Linked DNA regions of Mus musculus: all the other regions are reported to be linked to region 4. The links are microRNA targets in miRTarBase. Many come from high-throughput screens and were not tested one by one. Region 4 holds a microRNA gene; each other region holds the end of a gene's coding sequence.
What was found. The annotated mature microRNA mmu-miR-466q reads GUGCACACACACACAUACGU and lies in region 4 at 1,290-1,309, shown strand. An mRNA with a match to its seed (bases 2 to 7 or 8) in the 3' UTR can be bound and repressed. Matches are read on the target gene's strand: a 7mer-m8 pairs with bases 2 to 8, a 7mer-A1 pairs with bases 2 to 7 and ends in A, and an 8mer does both.

Region 1 (4,054 bases), not on the chromosome of region 4:
GCCTCAGCTAGGGAGCTCCCATTCCACTGGAGAACAGAGCAAAGGGAGCACATGGCGCATTGGGAGAACATTTACTGGATAGACAGGGGTGGAGTGAAGGAAGCGTCCTGGACAGAGCAAACACACAAGTTACTGCACGGAAAGGACCACGCACACACCGACTCGCCCACCATTCCCTCCCCACAAACACGAGTGACATCTGAAAGGCTAAGAGGAGAGGAGAGAATCTGCCCACCACATTACCAACAGAAATTACTCAAGTGAGGCCTGTGTCCTGCCTTCCCCGCAACCCCCCTCTAGCATACACAGCATTTGAAGCCCCAATGGACAAACATCTGGCAGGTGACAGGATAAAGGCCCTCTGGGGCCCCCAATTGTCCCAGTCAGTCAACCTGCCTGAAGGCCAGTTATGGCCTTCTCATCTGGCTGCCATTTTTGCTACCTCTCAAGTGTGAATGGCAGCAAAGGAGGGTTATCCAAGTAGCTGCGAAGCTCCTGGCGGCCTGCACCAGGCCCTAGGCTTCCAGTTACTGAGTGCCAGTGGATGCAGAGCCAAAGGCACACCAGACAAACTGCAACTGATGCTGTCATTTGCACCCAGAGGTGACTCTGTGTTCATATGCTAAATCTGTCCCCAGTGAAGGAGCTCATGGCCTGCCACTAAAAGGCTGGGCCAGGTCTTCTGGGACCCCCAGAAGGCTACAATCATTGACTCTGAAACTGGATACCCTTCTTACTGCAATAAGCCAGTGAATGTCAATAGCCAGTGTTTTTACCTGCACCATGCCCAAGAAACCGATGCTCAAGGGCAAAGGCAGCCAGGAACAATGCATGCCAGAGTAATGCTGCATCTCTACCCACACTACCCTAAGTATGCAACAGTATTCAGTCTTGGAGTTTTCATCCATCGCCCTACCTGAGGGATGACTCAGCTCACCCTGTAGCCAATCAGTCCACACCACTTTAGCCTGCTCAGGGCAACATGCCAGTCTGGGGGCTATTTGTAGCATAGTATTCAGCAAGCTCCAGGCATGAATGTCATGGATAGAAGGAATGGACTCATGGCAAGATACATGAAATATCCAATGAATTACAAGCAGAGGCTCTGATGCCCAAGAAAAAACATGGGTGTGGAGCCTAGGGCAGCAGGAGCTGGCACATTCAGCTAAGTTAACTTTGAGGGTTTGGACCATGTAAGCATTTATTCAACTAGAACAGTCAGTTCTGAAATCCAAAGCAAGAACCAACACACCTTTGTTTTGTTATTGAAATCAGGCAATACTGGGTTAAGGTGGGAAGACCCACAATTCTTTGCTTAAAATATCCCAAAGCATCACAGCAGTAACCACGGAACTCCTCTGGGCTCCAGTCTGAGTTTACATGGTGCAGGAGTGGGGTCTGCTTTCTGCCTCCAGTGTGAAGAAGCTTCCAGCTCTTCAATGAACTTCCCAGCTCAGGAGCTGCAAAACCAGAAGACTGGCTCTATGCGGGTTCTACCTCACTGTTCACTTGAAGTTACCCAACTTTACTTAGCAGTTCACTTATGAGCAGGAAGAAAAAAAATAATGGGGAGGGGGGTACAGTGGGAAGATGAGATCAAATCTCCAGGCCCAGAAAAGGTGCTGGGTCTCTTAACTCTTCCCTCCCCTATGGGGTCCCCCAGGAGTTAATTATGAGATCCTTAGGCAGCCTCTTACCCGCTCTGTCTCAAAATACCCTTGATTTTGTTCAAGACTAGAGACTCAGCCCTGGAAAACAAGAGACTCCAGGAGCATTTTCTTATTTCTCCAGGTAAACAATGAAATCACAATGAATCAGGAAAGAATTTCGTTCTCTGAACAAATGAGTGGAGATGGATGGATTAAGCTAATAATCTGCCCAAAAGTCACGCAGTCAATGGACATACACCAGCCCAGCATGCCACATGTAGTCACAGAATCAGCATATAGAGCAAGTGGGAGGTTTAACTCTTCTCGAACAGTACCTCATTCTTCCCACAAAGGTCTCCTTAAACCAACTCCTAACCTGCTAGCCACTGACTACACCACTATCCAAGCAGCTGTTTTTCATCCCTACTAGCTTTTCGTCTCATCTGGTTTCTGGCAGGACATGTGTACAGTTCTATATGCAGCCAGACTGCATAAAGCAAACACAAATCTACAACTGACTCTCATAGGGTGAAGAAGAGACAAGCCACAGAGGCTACAACCAACTCCCATCTTCTTGAATTGTGGTAAAAAAGCCAATTTAAGGAATAAAGTTAGGGGGCTAGAGAGATGGCTCAGCAATTAAGAGCACCAACTGCTCTTCCAGAGGTCCTGAGTTCAATTCCCAGCAACCACATGGTGGCTCACAACCATCTGTAATGGGGTCTGATGCCCTCTTCTGGTGTGTCTTAAGAGAGCAATGGTGTATTCATATACATTAAATAAATAAATCTTAGAAAAAGAAAAAGAAATAAAGTTAGTTACATGCTATGAAAATCTGGAGTACTCTCATTACATCATGTCAGCTCCTGGGGCACAGACATGAGCTACACCTTGCTCAGATACACCTACAGGGCTTGCCTTCTGTGACTTCATAGTAAAGCTCAGGTTTGGGTCCTGCTAACAAGATCAGACCAAAGAAAAGGAAGATAGAACATGACCTGGAGGATCCTCAAGTAATTCCTTTTATGGATCATGAAATCTGTGCCCATTATTGATCCATTAGCCCTTTCCCAAAGGACAAGAAATGGAAGTGACTATCCTGTGGTAAGAGAGTTCTCCCTAGAACAAAATCCTTTTTGGAGAACCTGTGAGAAAATGTGTTCCTGAGGGGCAGACCTTGCTCAACTGGTTGGCTCAGGAGCAAATGCTCATTTTGATCTTTCTAGTTTAGCTCAGGGCTACTGGTCCTGTGGAAGAAGTAGGGTCAGTAACATGACAACTACTGTTCAGGGATCAAATACTCCGAATGCAGGTATCAAATGGTTCCTGTACTGAGACATGCAGGATGAGCCCATGAGCTTGCTTTCTGAAGAGCAGAGGAGTGGATGGGCTCACCCACTCTACACTGTGAGCTGGGTACTTGCACTGCTTCTATTCCAGCAGTTCCACGCCCATGCTCTGACCCGTCTCTGGAACGTACACCAGCAGATTAATCTCCTGGGATCTTGGCTGAGGAATGAGGGCTGGTGTGAGGCTAGATGACCTCAAAGACTACTCCAGAGAACAGCAGCACTTGGTATTCCACCCACAGATCTTACACCAACCAAAGCTGGCTTCACACTCAACTACACTTGTGGAAAAGCACAGTGATTCTGCTATATGGACTATGACATCCAAAGGCTTTGATTCCTTGCTCATGGTGGGTAATTTTTTTTAATCATTTAAAGTCACATTGTCCAGATTTACACACCTATGTAGCCTCTCATTCTCTGGCCCCAAAACAACTGTGGACAACATTTCCCAAGTAAATACACACACACACACACACACACACACACACACACACACCCCAAAACAAGAAAACAACCTAAAATTTTAAAGGAAAAAAAAAAGGAAAAAGAATGTTTAAAAGAAATACAAATCAAAGAAATTTATTGGTATTGACAAAAATACATAATACAAAAAACAAAACACAACACAACAGAAACAAAACTGGAAACCCACCCCAGCTGGCCCACGTGCCTAATATACTGACAGTGTGCAGTCCCAGACCCCATCAAACACAGCGCTTAATTCATGAGGACCTCCATCTGCACCAGCCTGGCATTAGTGTCCCCCGACGTCCGGTACGGTATCATCCCAGCAAAGGTAATCAGGGCTCTGGCTTGACTTCGGAGTTGCTGAGAGAAAAGGGGTCAAGACAAGAAAACTGGTTAACTGCAGGTTAGGGTGAGGCACCCACCAGGTTCTTCTATGTTGTGCACTCAGTGTCAGGATGTCTCAGCCTCTACTGTCACATTATTCCAGCTTTATGTCCCTTTAAAAATAAATTTGTCCACTGGAGCCCCATTCCACAGGGTGTCAAAGCTTTTGGTGAACAAAGGCTGGAGACTGCCAGAAACGGC
Region 2 (4,054 bases), not on the chromosome of region 4:
TGTATATATATATTTTTTTTATTTTGAAATATTTGTATAGACTTTCTACTTTCTATTAGATTTGAGAGTATTTCAGATTTTGGAATTAGGGTTATTCAATCCGTTACCAGGTAAAACTCACAAAACTAGTGTACTGTGAGTGATCACTGTTCATTTGAAAATTCACTTGGTACTTAATTTATACTCTTTCCTTTGGTCTCCTATTTGCTCTAGGTGTCAACTCTGCCCGCTCAGTTCCTCCTTCCTACCCACCACCACAGGACCCGTTAAACCAGGGCCAGTACCTGGTCCCCGATGGCATCGCTCAGTCTCAAGTGTTTGAGTTCACTGAACCGAAACGCAGCCAGTCACCATTCTGGCAAAACTTCAGTAGGTTAACCCCCTTCAAAAAATAATACCTATAGGAAGGCAGATAATTTTAAAATAAATAAAATTATATTTATAGATGGACCTTTTTTTCGGAGAAGCACTGTTGAAAATTTATATATATATATATATATAAAATGTGTGTGTGTGAGAGAGAGTGAGTGTGTGTGTGTGCGTGTGTGTGCACACATACATGCACACACACACACGCACACATAGACCTTTACGTATACACGTGTGTGTGTGGGCATGTGTGCACATATGCATGCACATGCATGCACACATACATACATATACACACACAGAGAAGGACCAAAACCATTTTCTGTTGTTTTGGGGAGTTGAAATCTGTAGTTGGTAAGAAGTACCACTGATTTCCAAACATGTAATCACTTCTTCAAATTTTTAGTTCTTAACCTTGTTTCCTCCCCCTTACTCTCTGTTATTTTTCCTGTTAAGATAACTTATTCGCTCCTCTAGTTCACTGACCTGTCATTATTACCATAGAGTATTTGCATTGTTTTATTTCCCTTTCCTTATGATACTGACGCTGATAACTTTTGAATTGAATTTATGTAGTGGGTTTGGGATTTCATTTCTCTCCCTGTCACTTTCCACTGAGAAGGGGAGGATTCCCGTCTCCTGTTCCTCATGCACCCATCTGCAAATGTTCCTGTAGCCCTGCAGTTATACCAACAGCCTCTTCCCAGCATCCTGTGTCCACAATTGTGCCAGTCTATACATGCTCTGTTGTGCCCTGTGACTTATCTGCTTGGTATTTCTATTGCTTTCACTGTTTTAGGTATTGTGGAAGGATATAAAACCAAACAGAAACAAAGGAGTGAACGAATGTAATGAGAGTCGAGAAGATTTCTGTTAGGGGGATAGTTTTTATTTAGGTGATTTCTTCCCATATAACAGCAATGCTAAGCCATTGAAAGTTTCCACCTAAGAATTAGTTTGGGTCCATTAGTCTCTTTTCCAAGCCTCTTTTGTTATGGATCTCCTTTTCAGTCTATCTCTTCCCTAGGCAAAAGGTTTAACTAAACTAGTAGCAAAGAAATTGAGACTTTGCATCCTGGGGAAGAGATTTATCTCCACCCCATAACTCATAGATGGTAGGTAGGTGTCAGGCAGGGCTCTCTTTATAGTGTTCTGGTAACCCCTGCTTCTGTTTTCAGATTCATAAGGCATCATTGTTAGTAGTTTATGGAGGCGTTCAAGAGAAAAACCTGCTTGGCCAAGAGCATTAGCCACCTTCAGATTAACCTGAAAAGAGTTCAAGGTTGACAACAGCATCTTATAGAGACCATCAGGAAAAGAGAGAGGCTTGATCTAAGATAATATACCAGTAATTTGCATCACTGAAATTATAAGAAACATCCCCAATTGTTAGCAGATTGCATGGATAATCTCTGTCTCCTTTTTTTGCCCTTACTGTCTTTCAGGTAGAGGATTGCGAGTATGGGATAGTTAGAGCCATTATGGCACTCAAAGCAGGCTTTGTTCCAGACAGACTCCCATCCCAGGACAACTGAGGCAAGTGGTAGAGAAGCCTAGGGCTACTTTTACATCTGGGGGAAAAGAAAAGATCTGAGGTAGAACACTGAAGTTATTTCTTGGCAGGGTTTCCATTTGACCAGAATGTTTCCCACAAAAATCAGAATCCTCATGAGTACAAGAGTGCTTATTCTTTGTCATTTAGCCCTTTCTATGGCTAGAGATTGGAGCAAGAACAATAGAATATAAAGAAGTGTGAAAACCCACCCTATCCAGGAATCTGGAGATTGTGTCTGTCCTGGACCTCACAAGAAAATACTTCATTATAAAAAAAAAAGATCTAAGCTTACCAAGTAGCAACCATAGCTGTATGAGGTCTTCAAAAAAGCTGAATTTGTACTTCTTGACCTAGATTAAGCCCTACCCCTGAGAATCTTTCCCCTCTGAAAAACAAATTACACATTGTTGTCAGACTTTGTAGTTATCAAGGCTAACTAGCAGAATACCAGGGCTCGGGACTGGCTATCACTGCTCAGCATATGATAGAGCTACATAAGCCCTTATGGCAAGAAATCTGGCATCGAGCACATAGACTACAATGCTCTCCCTTGGCAAACTGAAATGTGTTTCACTTCCTATGCAGGCCTCCCTTATTGCACCTTCATTTCCTACTTTCTACCCATTCTCACTAGGCTTGGCCTTGGCAACTTTCTCCCAGGGTTAGGAGCACACCAGGAGGGCTTGTTTTGAAAGGTTTCTAGATCTATAGTATCTTTTGGCCAGACCTTCTCATTCTTTTCCCCTTTCTGAGTCCAACATTCAAGGCTCCCAGATCAGGGGTATTACCTCTCATCATCCTGTTTCTCCATCCAGTCCACTAACCTTACAAGATGTAGTAATTTGTGAAGGCACTACCAACTCCGCTCTCCTTGGATTGGAATGCCTGGCTCCACCCTCACACCTACAGCTCCAAATAGATCAGTGGCCAGTAGCCCAAAGGGAAACTCATCAATTCCCTGGACTCAGTAGCTGAACCTGCTGCAGCCCCACGGCCATATAATCCCCCCCAAAAATAACTCTATACTTCTCCTGTTTCTGCATGGCCCCAGACTCCCCTTTCCTCAACTCAATGAGGCCCGAACTTTCTTTCTCCAGTTTTGTGAGTTTGTTCTATGAGTTCTATTATAGGGAGGTCCTAAATACAGAAATACAATTTTTCTCTCCTTCTCTCATCCACTTTCTATGTGTATATCTTTAATTGATCTATTAAGGACAGCAGCAAGAGAGTTCTAACAATTCTAGTATGAAGCCAAATAGTGCTATTTTAGTGCTTTGGGGGTGGGGCGGGCTGGGTGACTAGATGGGCAACAGTGATTTTGACCCCTGCTGCTCTGCATTTGCCGGCTTATTCTTTTGTTTCTATTATCCGACTGTTTGACCCTGTCAAACAAGTGTCAAAATTGTGTATTTGGAAATGTTTAACAACAACAACAACAAAAAAGATGTTGTAATGACATAAAGCCTTATGAAAATATTTATGGAGTTCAATAAAAGAAGTAAAAAAGAATTTCAGGCACAGTTGTGCCATTTGTGTATGTGTGTGTGTGTGTGTGTGTGTGTGTGTGTGTGTGTGTGTGTGGCCAATTGCAAAATAAAGGCAATTTGTGTGCTGTGAGACTACTTGCTCTAACTATCTTGAGTTTCTTATCCTGCTGTTTCATTTCCAAAGTATTCCAAGGGATATTGGGAAACATTTTCTATCATTTCTGGAAGAGTAAAAGAACAGTGTTTGTACTCAAAGCCTGTAGCCATGAGTAGTTAAAATATTTTTATAGGTAGGACTTTCTTTCATTTTACCTGGTACTTTGCTAAAACCTAGTGGCCTGTTCCCGATCTTGTTCATTTCTCTTGTGTGTACAGGTCCAAAATACAACCTGGGTATTTGTGACAGTTTTAACACTGCATTTTAAATGTACCATAACACTTAGGAATCTCCCACTCCAGGTTCCCTCTTAAAACTTGTGGGCTTGACTCCTTAAAAGTAGACTTTAATTGTCCATGTGTGGACACAGTGACCTTATTATTTTCTTTATTATGTATAGTCTGTGTACACAAATACTTTGCCTTCCACTAGGCCTGCACATGCCATGTAATGTTGCCGGTCACAGTCCAAATGAATAAGAATGTC
Region 3 (4,054 bases), not on the chromosome of region 4:
ATGAATATATGTAGTGAACATACACACATTGCATAGGCACACTAAACTCAAGTAGCTGCCTCCCTGTGGGGAAGAAATCCTAAGAAAGGGTCTGTGGGGCCTCCTGTATGCATTCTCCTCTTCGTGTCACCTGTCCTGGGTAGTACACACTTTTCCTGCTTTATGACATTTTCATATGTTCTTGTGCATACATGCATGACACGATGCACATGTAAGAGTCAGAGAACTTCTGGGAGTTCATTTCATCCTTCCACTGTGTGACCATACTTGCGATGTCAGGCCTGGCACAAGTGCCTTTACCGGCTGAGCCACCCCATGGTCTGTATTATCTTCTACATACTAGTGTTTAGGTTTGTAGAGTGTGATTTTAAAGGAGAGTTGCCACCTAGTGGACACACTTAAATAGAACCTTTAAAAATCTTACCTACTAGGTTTTTAAACTATTTTCAGACAAGGACCAGAACCTTTCTGCTTTTTTTTTTTTTCTCAAAAGCCTTTCTAGCTCCAAACCATTGGTGAGAAGACACATTTGGAATGACCAAGAACACCCATTTTGGGTTTGACCCAACCTAGAATTTAACATCACTTTTGTTATTTACTGTGTAGCTTCAGGGAGAGTATCATGTTTTTCTGTATCTACATGAATTTGTATTCACACCTTTATCAAACATGAGGAATCCTTTTAATTTTTAAAAAAGATTTTATTATATGTGAGTACACTGTAGCTATACTTACAGAAGTAAGAGGGCATTGGATCTCACTACAGATGGCTGTGAGCCACCATGTGGCTGCTGGGAACTGAACTCAGGACCTCTGGAAGAGCAGTCAGTGTTCTTAACCACTGAGCCATCTCTCCAGCCCCATGAAGAATTTTCTTGATGGAGCTATAAAAGAAGTGCCTCACTGGAGTTTACTAAAGGTATGTACCAGGGTGAAGGTAGGATTGCTCTGTTTTTTAAAATAAATTTAATACTGTCTGTGGATGTGTGTGAATGCAGGTGCATGCCAGATGGCTGTGGTCAGAGGACAACTTTTGGGAGTCAGCCTTTTCCTTCAGCTCTGGAGATGCAATTCATGGGGTTAATGGTTTACTGAATGGTTAAACTCATTTGAGATGTGTGGCCTCAAGTAACAGGCTCAAACTCTTTTTCAGATAGGGTTTCTTCTCTATGTAGCCCTGGCTATCCTAGAATGTGCTTTGTAGACCAGCCTGGCCTTGAACTCAGAGATCTACCTTGCTCTTCCTCCTGGGTGCTGACATTAAAGGTGTAAGTCATCTTGCTAGAGAGATGGCTCAGCTGTTACGAGCACTGGCTGCTCTTCCAGAGGACCCAGATCAACTTCCAGCACCCACACGGCAGCTCACAACTTGTCTGTAACTCTGGTCCCAGAGGATTCTGACATCCTCAGACAGACAGATGCACAGGCGAAACACCAATGCACATACAATTAAAAAGTGTGTGTCGCCACACCCAGCCTGGTCTTAAATTCTTGGTCCTCCTGTTTCAGGCTCTTGGTCTCAACTGAGATCCCAGGTGTGCACCACACGCTACAGTGGGTTAACCACTGCTTCAATCCCAGCTTTTATGCCCTGGACTCTTTAGCCTGGTGGACAGAGTGCCTTGCATGTGCGTTAGAGTGAGACCAAGTCTTACTTTATAGCGTATTACTTGTTTAGATCTGCTCTGCGTCCTGACTGCCTCCTTAGCCCTCAGGCATTACTCTCTGGTGCTAACTTTGTGGCACTTTTTTTTTTGTTTGTTTGTTTGTTTTTCAAGACAGGGTTTCTCTGTGTAGCCCTGGCTATCCTGGAACTCACTCTGTAGACCAGGCTGGCCTCGAACTCAGAAATTCACCTGCCTCTGCCTCCCAAGTGCTGGGATTAAATAAAGGCGTGCGTCACCATACCCCGCTTCTTTGTGGCACTTCCTGGGAATGTGAACCACCATCACCGCAACTCACTGACAATTCTAAGTCAGAATGCATCTATCTACCATTCCGTGAGCAAGGAATGCCTACCTATTCTTCCTCTTTGCTTAAAAATCATCACAAAATCATTTACTGGCCTGGGAAGCTGCTTCACTGTAGAGTGCTGGTCTGGCCAAGTGTGAGGTTCAACACAGAAAGAACAAAATGGAACTGACCTGAGAAGCCTTACATGTGGCTACACTGGCTTACAAAGGACAGGGGAATGTGGAACACCCTGATCACGTAGGCTGATGGGCAACCAATTAAATGAAAGTAAGGAATAGCCTTTGTGCTCCAACTGATGAACCCTCCTTGGGGTCCACTGCAGACTGACGAGGTGACTGACCACTGGTGTGAGGTCCCAGGGCTCCACAGAACAGCAACTTCCCTGTTCACTCTAACTGGTTCTTCCTGAATCAGAGCACAAGTGCACCCTACTGAAAAGCACACTCAGACCCCAGGCTTAGAATCTGGCTGCACTTTAAGGCTAAAAATTCCTCAGTGAGTATCTCACACAGTGGCTGCTGGTGGGCTTGGCAGTTGTTATATCAAACATGTTTTGCATTCCGAAAACTTAATCTTATCAAATGTTTTTTAATTTCACAGACAATATGAAACATACTCTGTAGGTACACAACAGTTCTGCAGTTTCCAAGTGAACACAGATTAGAATACAGAGGTTAAATGCTGGTGTACTGACCACAGCTGAAACTTTAGATAAAACTTTATATAAAACATACAATTCAATTATCAGCCAATTTGAAAATTTTACTCTTCTCATAATATAAAAATGATACTTTGAGATACAAAATTTTTTTTGCTAAACAAACTATATAAACATTTAAAATAATCATTAAAAACTCAACATTAGAATTTATAAAGATTCACTATAAAAATATATCGGCAGTCACTTCTTTTATAAAGGTACCATGGGCTACATTACACAATAGTCTCAATGTAAGATTGCCTCAGTAACTGTTTTAGAACCTGACAAACCTTACGGTAAGATGATTATAAAACCCCTCAGGAAAGCTTTGGTGTGCATATTCAGGTTATTTAAAACATTTGAGGGCCTTTGTAAACACTTCATTCTGTTAAAGCGCAAGAGAATGATCTTCAACTGCACACAGGATTAGAGAATCAAAAAACAAAAAAAACAAAACCAATCTATTATGTACTTGCCCTTATCAGAGGAAGCAAAAAACAAACTATTAAACTGTCAAACTTGCAGACAGTTCTCTTTCCATTCTGACAAAGCAAAGTCACAAACCACCTCCACCACAGGCTGATGTGTCTCCACGCCATTTAGGAGATCTCCAAACCAATCGAGTCCAACCAAACTAACTGCTAAAAACTCATTTAACATACCTGACATTACGACACAATCAGACCACATAATTTACATACTTAGTAACGCTTTATGCTTTTACATTTGTAAATTTATTGGCAGAAATGAGGCACGCACGCACACACACACACACACACACACACACACACACACACACACACACACACACACACACACGCGCGCACACACACAAAGGCAAGTTTTAGGGAACAGAGAAATACAGACGTAGCAGGAACGGACTGCTTCACTAACGTCGCCTGCCATTTTCGTTGCTGACCATTATTTCTATTTAAACTGCTGAAAGTCCATTCCTTGAGCACTCTATCTTTTCGGAGCTTCCAATTGAGACAGTAGCTTCCTGCAGGTCATCTCCATTCTCCCTCCATCATGTCTGTTTGTGAAAACCTAATACAAAGTAGCTTCTTTGACCTTTGAATTTATAGAACTCCACTAAAAAGAAATCCACCTAATTTTTAAGCTTTAAAGTCCACAAAAAATACTTTCTCTTTAAAGAATCAAACACTTTTATGAGAATAAAGGTCCTTCAAAGTCTTTAGCTCCTCTATTAGAGTTTTATTTTGATTTTCCAGAACAGCAACACGGTTCTCCAGGCACTTCACGTACTCCTTCTTCTTCCGGCGGCACTCTCGGGCAGCTTCTCTAAACACAATGGACAGAACACATCAGGAAAATGCAGCACCCTTCAAGTGGAAAATTTCCCCCACTATTCCTGACTCT
Region 4 (4,067 bases):
ATTTCTGGGTCAACTGGTATTGGAACATGCTTCCTCGGGTGAGGGTTCTTAAGAAAAAAGATTGCTGGAAAGCGGGCACCAGAGTAGACAGAGACAGGCATGGGATGGGCTCCAGCTTCAGTTTTCTCTTTCAGTCTTGAACAAAGTACCGACCTCTTCTGAGCATCAGTATCTTCATCGAGAAGCCATGGGCAGCATGCATGCTTCTCATCTGATTAGAGAGTTGAGATGGAGATACATAGGGTGCTCCTGTGTGCAGCAGGACTCACTCATGACCTCGTTTCCTCTTCCCTTGTTTTTTACGAAGTCTGCAGAGAAGTGCCAGTGCCCAGATTAGTCAGTGAACGATGATAATGGCATGCTAATATTTATCCAGTGAAGCACTTTGCACAGAACTATTTGTATCATGTTTGTATAATTAGAGGAAACGCTTCTCATCATACATTATGATGTGAACTTTCCTTCCTAGGCTCCCGGTAATTAGATTTGGGTGAGGAAAAATTCCCCGAGTTGTAAAAATATACAAAAACTTTTCTCGAGTTTGCTTTGTGTTTTATATTTGTGACTAGAGTTTGCCATTTCTCTTTTTATTAGGTGCTCACCACAAGTATGTTAATGAGTGGAAGTAGTGGGTGAAAACTGGCGTTTGAGAGCCATGTTAGGTTTAAGCTGACATGAAATTCATATTTGGAGAAACAGAGTAGGATCCGAAGTGACTAGGTAGTATAAATGCTTCAGAAAGCCTCGGTATATTCCTTGAAGAAAATAGACAATTGGATACTTTTTGCTCTGGGCTGTGAAAACCCTTCTGAAGAATGTGGCATCTGGATTCTACTCAGCTGAGTCCACATGGGTATACTACTAGTAGACTTTACTACTATCTGGGGGGTAAGGTGGGGTTTGCAATAGGTGCAAATAAAACTTTATTGAAGTATTAAATGTATATATCACAAGAGAGTGCTTAACAGTGGGGTGGAGCAAAAAAAAAAGAGCTGAGAAATTTTCATGCAGAAAACTGAAGGAATTTAGTGAAATTCTTTATTTTTAACTCCTTCCCATGCTTGAAACAGGGGTCTCTAGTCTAGCCTGGTCTTGAACTCAGTCCTCCTGTCTTAACATCCTGGGTGTTGAGATTACAGGCAGTCACTACCATATTTATCTAAAGTCTACCTTAGGAAGACCCCTCTACTCCTGAAACAGTTTTAAAAATCTCCTTTATATTCTTATTACCTTCTCTTTAGTGTGTGTGTGTGTGTGTGTGTGTGTGTGTGTATGTGTGTGTAGTATATGTGCACACACACACATACGTACCCATGCATGCCATATCTCATCTCTGGAGATAATAGGACAACTCGTAGGAGTCAATTTTCTCCTTTACCCAGTAGTGCCCAGAGACTGATCTCAGGTTGTCAGGCTTGGCAGCAAGCACCCTTACCCTCTGAGCTGCCTTATAGGTGTGCTTTATATTCTTAATACTACTGAAGAGTGCAAGAACCGTATGTTTGGATGGATTGTCTACCAGCATTTATTATAGTGCCAATAAATGTGATTTCATTAAATACAATAAGGACTTTTTAAAGCACAATATTACTAATGCATAACACAATGTCCATTAGCCGCAGTGATGACATCATCTTGTGGCATGCAGCCTCTGGGAAACTCCACTGTACAACTGTGGGGCAAGAGCGAAAATAGCATTTGATGTCATTGTATTAATATATAAAAAGGGCTCCAGAGACTCAGAGGACCTCGGGCATCTCTGAGGACAATTGTAGTGGCTTGTAGTCACTAGAGAGGTCACGCTGATCTGTCCTTCCGTAACCCATCACTCCATTCCAGGATGAATGACATTATTCACAGGGTTAGAAATGAAGAAGGCAGAATTTCACAAGTGGCTCGTGGCCGAGATTTGGTACTGCAGGAGCACAAGAAGAACTACAACAACAGAAGCATTTCATTTGCCATCACTGTGTATCTTTGCATAAGTATTTTTTGCACAAGTTAGGTTAGATCTACATCAAATGAAAAGAGTGGATGTATTTTAGTCAAACTGTGTTAGGAACTTCTGGCCTATAATAGCAGCCAAACATGGGATGTGTGTGCAACCTCCAAACTGGGAAACACTTAAGAGGTGTTTCCTTGAGCTCCTGGCTTGCTTGGCTAGGGCAAATATGACGAGGAGCCTACCAGGTGCTCTGCTCAGAGCTGCAATGGGGAAAACCCCATCCAAACGACAGCAGAGCACACTCAGCTAGTAACAGCTAGCTCTCATTAGCCCCTCACCCGATACAATTAACAGAAAAGAATGAAAGACAGAATAAGCTTAGGAAACAGGTAAAGGGTGGTTTAAGTATGGTCTTAATTCTTTTGAGACAACCATCCCTCCTCTCTCTCTCTCTCTCTCCTCTCCCTTTTTTCCCTTTAATGTGATGTATTTATTTTTATTTCATGTGTATGGCTGTTTTACCTGCATACATGTCTGTGCATCATTTGTGTGCTAGGTGACTGTGGGTGGGAGTCAGTCTCAGTCTATCTAGATTTACAGATGGGCTGAGCTATCATACTGGTGCTAGGAACCAGATTAGTGTCTTCTGTAGGAACAGTGTGTGCTTTTAATTCTGAGCCATCCTGCTAGCCCCACAAGTGCCCCCTTTAAAGCAAACATCTGAGAGTGGCCACAGATCCTTTGAATATTTTCCCTAAATTCACACTGGAGGAGCCACCTTAAAACACAAAGTCTCCTGCCAAGTCTCTCCTCTGGATTGGCCCTGCTGGATTGGTCTAGTCAGTTCCCATCACCATTGGCTAAGACATCTGGCCACTAGGACGCAGAGCACACAAACATTGTCTTTGCAAAAGCTCAGTCAGCGTTGCTGGGACGCACCTTCACCCTGACCACCAGGAGCTTATTTCCCCCATTGATTTGTCTTTCCAGTTTCCTGTGGCTTTAGATCTTTTCTTTTACTCTTTAATGAAAATCCACACGAATGAGACCTTTTGCTTCTAAAATGCTAAGTTGTTGTTATTGTTTTTTGGGGGGTTGCGTGGGGGGATTTTCATTGTTTAGAATTTGTCCTGATGCTCAAGAGATTCACTGTTGGTCACCCAAATGAAAGGCTGTCGCTTCGGTGGTCTAGAACTCGTTTTTTTGTTTTACTTGCCTCTCACACTTGCAGATCTGTGATCTTGAAGCCAGAGAAAGAATTCCACACAGATTCCCAAACATAACATTCTTTCTGACAGGCAAATAATTCCTCAGGTTTTCAGCTGTTGCTGTCTGCCTTGTGTGGCTTTTGCTTTCTGATGTGGTCGAGCTATGCCTTTATGGTATGGAGAAAGGATGGCAGCTGAATAGTGTGTGCTATGTAGCCAGTCATTATGTTAACGATGCGTGCTTTAGCTAACTGTGCTCCCTCTGCTGGGAATCTACTATTTGTTAGTGTCATCTTGGGTCTCTTTCTCAACTAGAGCTTGCTCATGGCTCCCTCCATCCTTCTTAGCCTCATCATCTGGACTCCGACATTCTCACTGTCAAGTGGTCTTGCCATTGGCATCTGTAAACCTAACAGCAGACATTTCCCTGATATTACGTAATTCTTTTCTATCTGGGATTATGTCACATTCCTGAAGACATCCCAGGCAGAACACCTTGTTTCCATCTATTCACATCTCACCTCCATCTCCCTCTAGAGTTTGATCCCACATGGTGCAGCTTGCCCCAGCCCCCTGTTAGGGCAGTCATCACCCAGTGATGGGCTTCCTGCCCAGCTGTCTGTATATACCCACCACACACTGGAAAGCTCTTCCTTGCCATAATCTGTCTTCCTAACTCCCCATCATCTGCAAAGGAAGGTGTTGCCCTTTTTCTGAGGAAGTAGGCCAGGAGTGGTACCTTTCTTATGTCATCAGGAAGCTCAGGTTAAACCATGTAGGTACTTACCCATACACAAGAGCTTTCAGAATGATTTCTTACAACGTGAAATTGTGTTCTTGACAAACTGGAGATATCAGGAGGAAAATGTGTGAGACGAAAAATGTGTGCCCAGGTCTAAGCTGTACATTTGGAG
Region 5 (4,054 bases), not on the chromosome of region 4:
GAATGTTCCCTGCAGTAGAGCTGAGGCCTGATAGAGGGAACCTTGGAGCAGTGAGGCAATGCAGAGGAGCAGCCAGGACCACTCAGGGGGCTTTTGTTCTTCACCACGAGTAGAAAACCTACTTTTCCTAAGGAAACATCTGTGGTTGGTTCAAAAATGTTCCCTTGCCAAGCAGCTGTGACGTTAGGGGTTAGGGAGGGCAGAGAGAGAGAGAGACGTGCCATATGCCAGTCTGTGGGGGCACCTAGGCCACACCCTGCTGTGTCACCAGTGTAGCAGCTTTTGGTACAGAAACAAACAAACAAAAAAAGACAAAACGCAAACAGCGCTGGGCCATGGTAGCATGTAGGCCATCACCCCAGAAATTCAGGAAGCTGAGGCAAGAGGACTGGGAGTTCAAGGCCAGCCTGGGCAGCTTTGTGAGTCCCATCTCAAGTTTAAAAAATCAAAATGGCTGGGAGTACAGCCAGTGGTAGAGCACTGGCCTAGTAGCTCACCTTGCAGGACAGACCCAAACAAACAAAACCCAAAACAAAACAATCTAGAGCCCAACAAGCAGGTGGGTGCAAGACCCACCCTGAGTTCATGAGAACTCCCAAGATGAAAGGGGGCATTAAATGGGGAGCAGGACTGAAGCAGCAGGCAGAAGGCCTCTGTTCTCTGCCCCGCCCACCCGGCCCAGCAAGCCAAAGTCCCTGTCAGAGGGCCTGCTCTGAAGGGAAGTGGTGTCTGCAGTGGCAATCTTTGGAACAGCTTGACTTATCCTTTTTAATATTGCTTCTAAGCAGAGGTATTCTGGGAGACCGGAGGTGAGGATATAGGTGGCCGCTCTGTTCCCCCTGACCTAGCCTCGGGGTACCCTGTGGCCATTTGTGGTGACTTTGCCTCTCCTGGCCAGGATGTGATGTTTCCCACACATGAGGGACCTTTCACTAGAGCTGAGACGCCACCCCTTTCTGACTTATTCTAAGCAGGCACTGTGCAGTTCGGATGGGGAGGGAGGGACTGGGCGAGCAATGTCACGTGGGTGTTATGAAATTTGAGGATTTTGAGGAAGAACAGGAACAATCCACCCGTTTCTCTCTATGGGGAAGGGTTTCTTCTTACATTTCACTGACCTTTAACCCCCACCTTACACTGTTTTACCACTGCCCAAGGGGTTCCTTTGTCTATAAAGGCTTCACATCTGTTCCTGAATTGTTCCCCCAACCCAGGGCTTAGTGGGGTGCTCCAGGGTTGCCAGCCATGGGCCACACAGTGCGTGGACATGGCCCTCCTGGCTCAGAGCTTGTGGGAGCACGCTCTGGTGCCAGCTTCTGCCCAGCAGATGACCAAACCCACTCCGCAGAGCAGCAGCACTAGTCTAGCCTCCTTGTAGCTCAGGCTGTCCAACCAGGCCGTCAGGCCGTGTACCGGGACAGTGTGTGTTCTCTCTCTCTCTCCATACCCTTCCACGCCCCTGTTAATGGTGAAGATCTGCCTCAGAGCACGGAGCCCACGTTTCAGGAACTGGGACAGCAACCTGCTCATGACCATCCACAATCTTAATCTGCCTTGGAGGGTGACCATGGACAGCCCTGGAGTAAAGGGTGATGGAGGGAAAGATCAGCAGCTGGCACCAACGTCCCTTGTCACCTCAGCCCACTACGCAACTCAGATCTCCACCCCATTCGTTCTTCCCTAACCCCAGGCTCACACCAGGCACACAGAGAGAAGTTCATGCCAGGTACCAAGGGAAGATGTGAGACAGAGCCAGCCCTCTGCCCCCTCTGAGGGGAAACCCCTCCCCCAGCCACCATCACACCAGCCCCACTTCTCTGAACCTTTCCAGGCAATAGGCAGGAGACCTCCAAAACACTGGCTTGAAGCCGAGTACTACAGAAATGACTGGCTGGGGAGCTTGGGAGATAGCTCAAGAGAGGAGGCAGGTGCTCCGCCCTGGTCCCTGATGTGTGGGGGGCACTGGTGGCTTCAATGGCAGCAGCCATACATCGGAGCTTGGACTTATCCATCCCGGTCATCTGCTCTCCTGTGACCACAGCCTCCAGGTCTGGAGTCCCTTCCAGCAAAGGCAGCTTGTCCAGCCTGCTCTCTGCCCACAGGGCCCTTGGGCCTCTTCTGACCGGCACCAGGCAGAGAAGGCGGCTGACTGGTGGGTGGTTTGATACCAACGACAGGGCCTGGGGCTCTGTCCAAGTTGTTGCCAGCTGCTTACCGACCACCCTCTAGGAGGACCAACACTGAGTTTCTGGCTGCTTTGGAGTTTCCTGTCGCACAGCCCCCATGACTGCTTCTATAAAATCAACTCTCATTCTCACAGAGAGAAACATTTGATGGCTCCTGCTCACGAGACTTGGTGTGGTGTATGTTAAAGTGCTGTTGGTCACTTGTCCGGCATGCAAAGGGACCTTCCCCGGGCGTCCAAGTCCTCAGCTGACACCCACGCTTTGGTTCTTGCTGCACTGTACTCAAACTTGGCACCGACTGCTGTCCGGAGAGGTAGTTTCCTTTCCAGAGGATAACGGTCAGGTAGAAAAGAGGGTTTCCATTTTCAAACTGGACAGGGTTCTCAGTTAACTGGAATGGGGGTGGGGTGGGTGGGGGAGGAGACGGTGTGAGCAGATCACCGCCCAGATCCTCTGCTGTCTTCCTGCCGCATACCACCCACCATCCATCATCCTCCTGCTGAGCAAGTGGCTGACCGACTTCCCTTGCAGCTGGCTCAGGCTTCCCTGGAGATCCGTTTGTAGCTTGCAGCTCTCGACTCATTCAGTGCTGTGGGCACTGGCCCTGGGCTGACTTTCAACCCAGAGCTCTTTGATCCATCAATGTGGGAGCCGCCCATCCTTCTTGGAGTTATCAGGGAGAGCGGCATGTTCACCAGGGCCTGGTGTGGTCGAGCGCAGGGCCTGGTGTTGCTTGGCTGCCTACAAAAGGGAACCTCAGAGACACATGGTCTGCTCTGTGTGTCTCAGGTTGGAGATGAGCCCAGATTCCATATTTAGCTGAAAGAAATATTTAGGGTCCAAAGCCAAAGCAGATCTCCCTGACCCCAGTTAATGCCACAGTCTCTGTCACTTTTGGGGAGAGGGCTCTGTATCCTAGCCTGTGGCTGGGAAGTTCTTGCCATTCTGTTTTCTGGTCTATTCCCGGATCAGTCACAAATAGGAAATCCGTGGACCCACTCTCAGAGAGAGGAGCCTGGGTTTGCACTGTGCTTCTGTCCAGGCCTGGGGCTCAGGCTCTTGTTGTGGGCGCTGCCTGGGATCCATTCCTGAGGAGCTGGGCTAGATAGACCTTCTCCCCCAAGAACTGGGGAGAGGCGATGGCATGAGAGAGGGGTAAATAAACACACAGAACCCCCAGATTCATACAATCAAGTTGTCTGTACGTGTTTATGTGTTTGTTTCAAACCATGGGAGGACAGGAGATAAAAAGGAAACTGTCCGAGTGCGGCGGCCACCCACATGAGGGCTGCAGGCTGTGATGGGCTTTTCCACTCGGTCCTTGAATGTAGCTGCTGGCCACTAGGGCTCCTGTGGCGTGAGTTTCACTCCACCTTCCTGCAGGCGACACTTCACTCGCCGGTCCCCGGGCCCTGAGGGCCGGTGGCTGCCATAGCTGTGGGCTGTGTGGTGGCTGTCCCACCGGGTTCCTCTACCCGGGACCTCTTGACCTCGGGCTCTCCGCTAGAAGAGGCAGATGTGGTAGTGGAGGCGGCTGGGGTTGGCGCTGCATTAGCGGCTACTGAGACGGCTGCTGCTGGCTCCTCAGGCCCCACCTCACACACCCGGGTGATGACCACTGGAGTGGATGAACTTGCCTGGGCTGCCAGGAGCTGCAGGGGGCTGCTGAGGGCTGGCGGTAGGAAGAAGAGGTTACTTAAGGGTCATCACTATTTGACCACTAACTGACCCGAGCAGCAAAGCCAGAGCCACAGTTCTTTCTCTGCCCGTTCCTCACACAGACTCCTTCTCCCCGCCGACAGCAAGTTTGAGTCAGACACCCAACACCCGACTCCACTCAGGGCCCTTTTCTTTGCTGCCTCTGTCAC

Region 1: the mRNA of Nup93 is a reported target of mmu-miR-466q. The part of its 3' UTR that is shown has no 7-base or 8-base seed match.
Region 2: the mRNA of Arhgef9 is a reported target of mmu-miR-466q. Seed matches in the 3' UTR shown: 7mer-m8 at 546-552 and 7mer-m8 at 618-624.
Region 3: miRTarBase lists Atf1 as a target of mmu-miR-466q. Seed matches in the 3' UTR shown: 7mer-m8 at 3,090-3,096.
Region 5: the mRNA of Foxk1 is a reported target of mmu-miR-466q. The part of its 3' UTR that is shown has no 7-base or 8-base seed match.

What each region holds. Positions count from the first base shown.
Region 1 is chr8:94,314,360-94,318,413 of GRCm38, reverse strand. Nup93 (nucleoporin 93) reads right to left here. Exons shown (of 22, transcript NM_001357266.1): 22 at 3,348-3,829. The coding sequence ends at 3,719. Among named protein-coding and RNA genes, the nearest start is that of Mir138-2, 7.9 kb to the left of the region's middle.
Region 2 is chrX:95,048,314-95,052,367 of GRCm38, reverse strand. It overlaps Arhgef9 (CDC42 guanine nucleotide exchange factor (GEF) 9), which reads left to right. Exons shown (of 10, transcript NM_001290385.1): 10 at 214-3,433. The coding sequence ends at 395. Among named protein-coding and RNA genes, the nearest start is that of Spin4, 24 kb to the right of the region's middle.
Region 3 is chr15:100,259,737-100,263,790 of GRCm38, reverse strand. Atf1 (activating transcription factor 1) reads right to left here. Exons shown (of 7, transcript NM_007497.3): 7 at 2,543-3,976. The coding sequence ends at 3,832. Among named protein-coding and RNA genes, the nearest start is that of Tmprss12, 19 kb to the left of the region's middle.
Region 4 is chr3:28,418,699-28,422,765 of GRCm38, forward strand. It overlaps Mir466q (microRNA 466q), which reads left to right and starts at 1,245; the gene lies at 1,245-1,320. All of the region lies in intron 2 of Tnik (TRAF2 and NCK interacting kinase), which reads left to right.
Region 5 is chr5:142,456,280-142,460,333 of GRCm38, reverse strand. Foxk1 (forkhead box K1) reads right to left here. Exons shown (of 9, transcript NM_199068.2): 9 at 1-3,858. The coding sequence ends at 3,578. Among named protein-coding and RNA genes, the nearest start is that of Ap5z1, 5.6 kb to the left of the region's middle.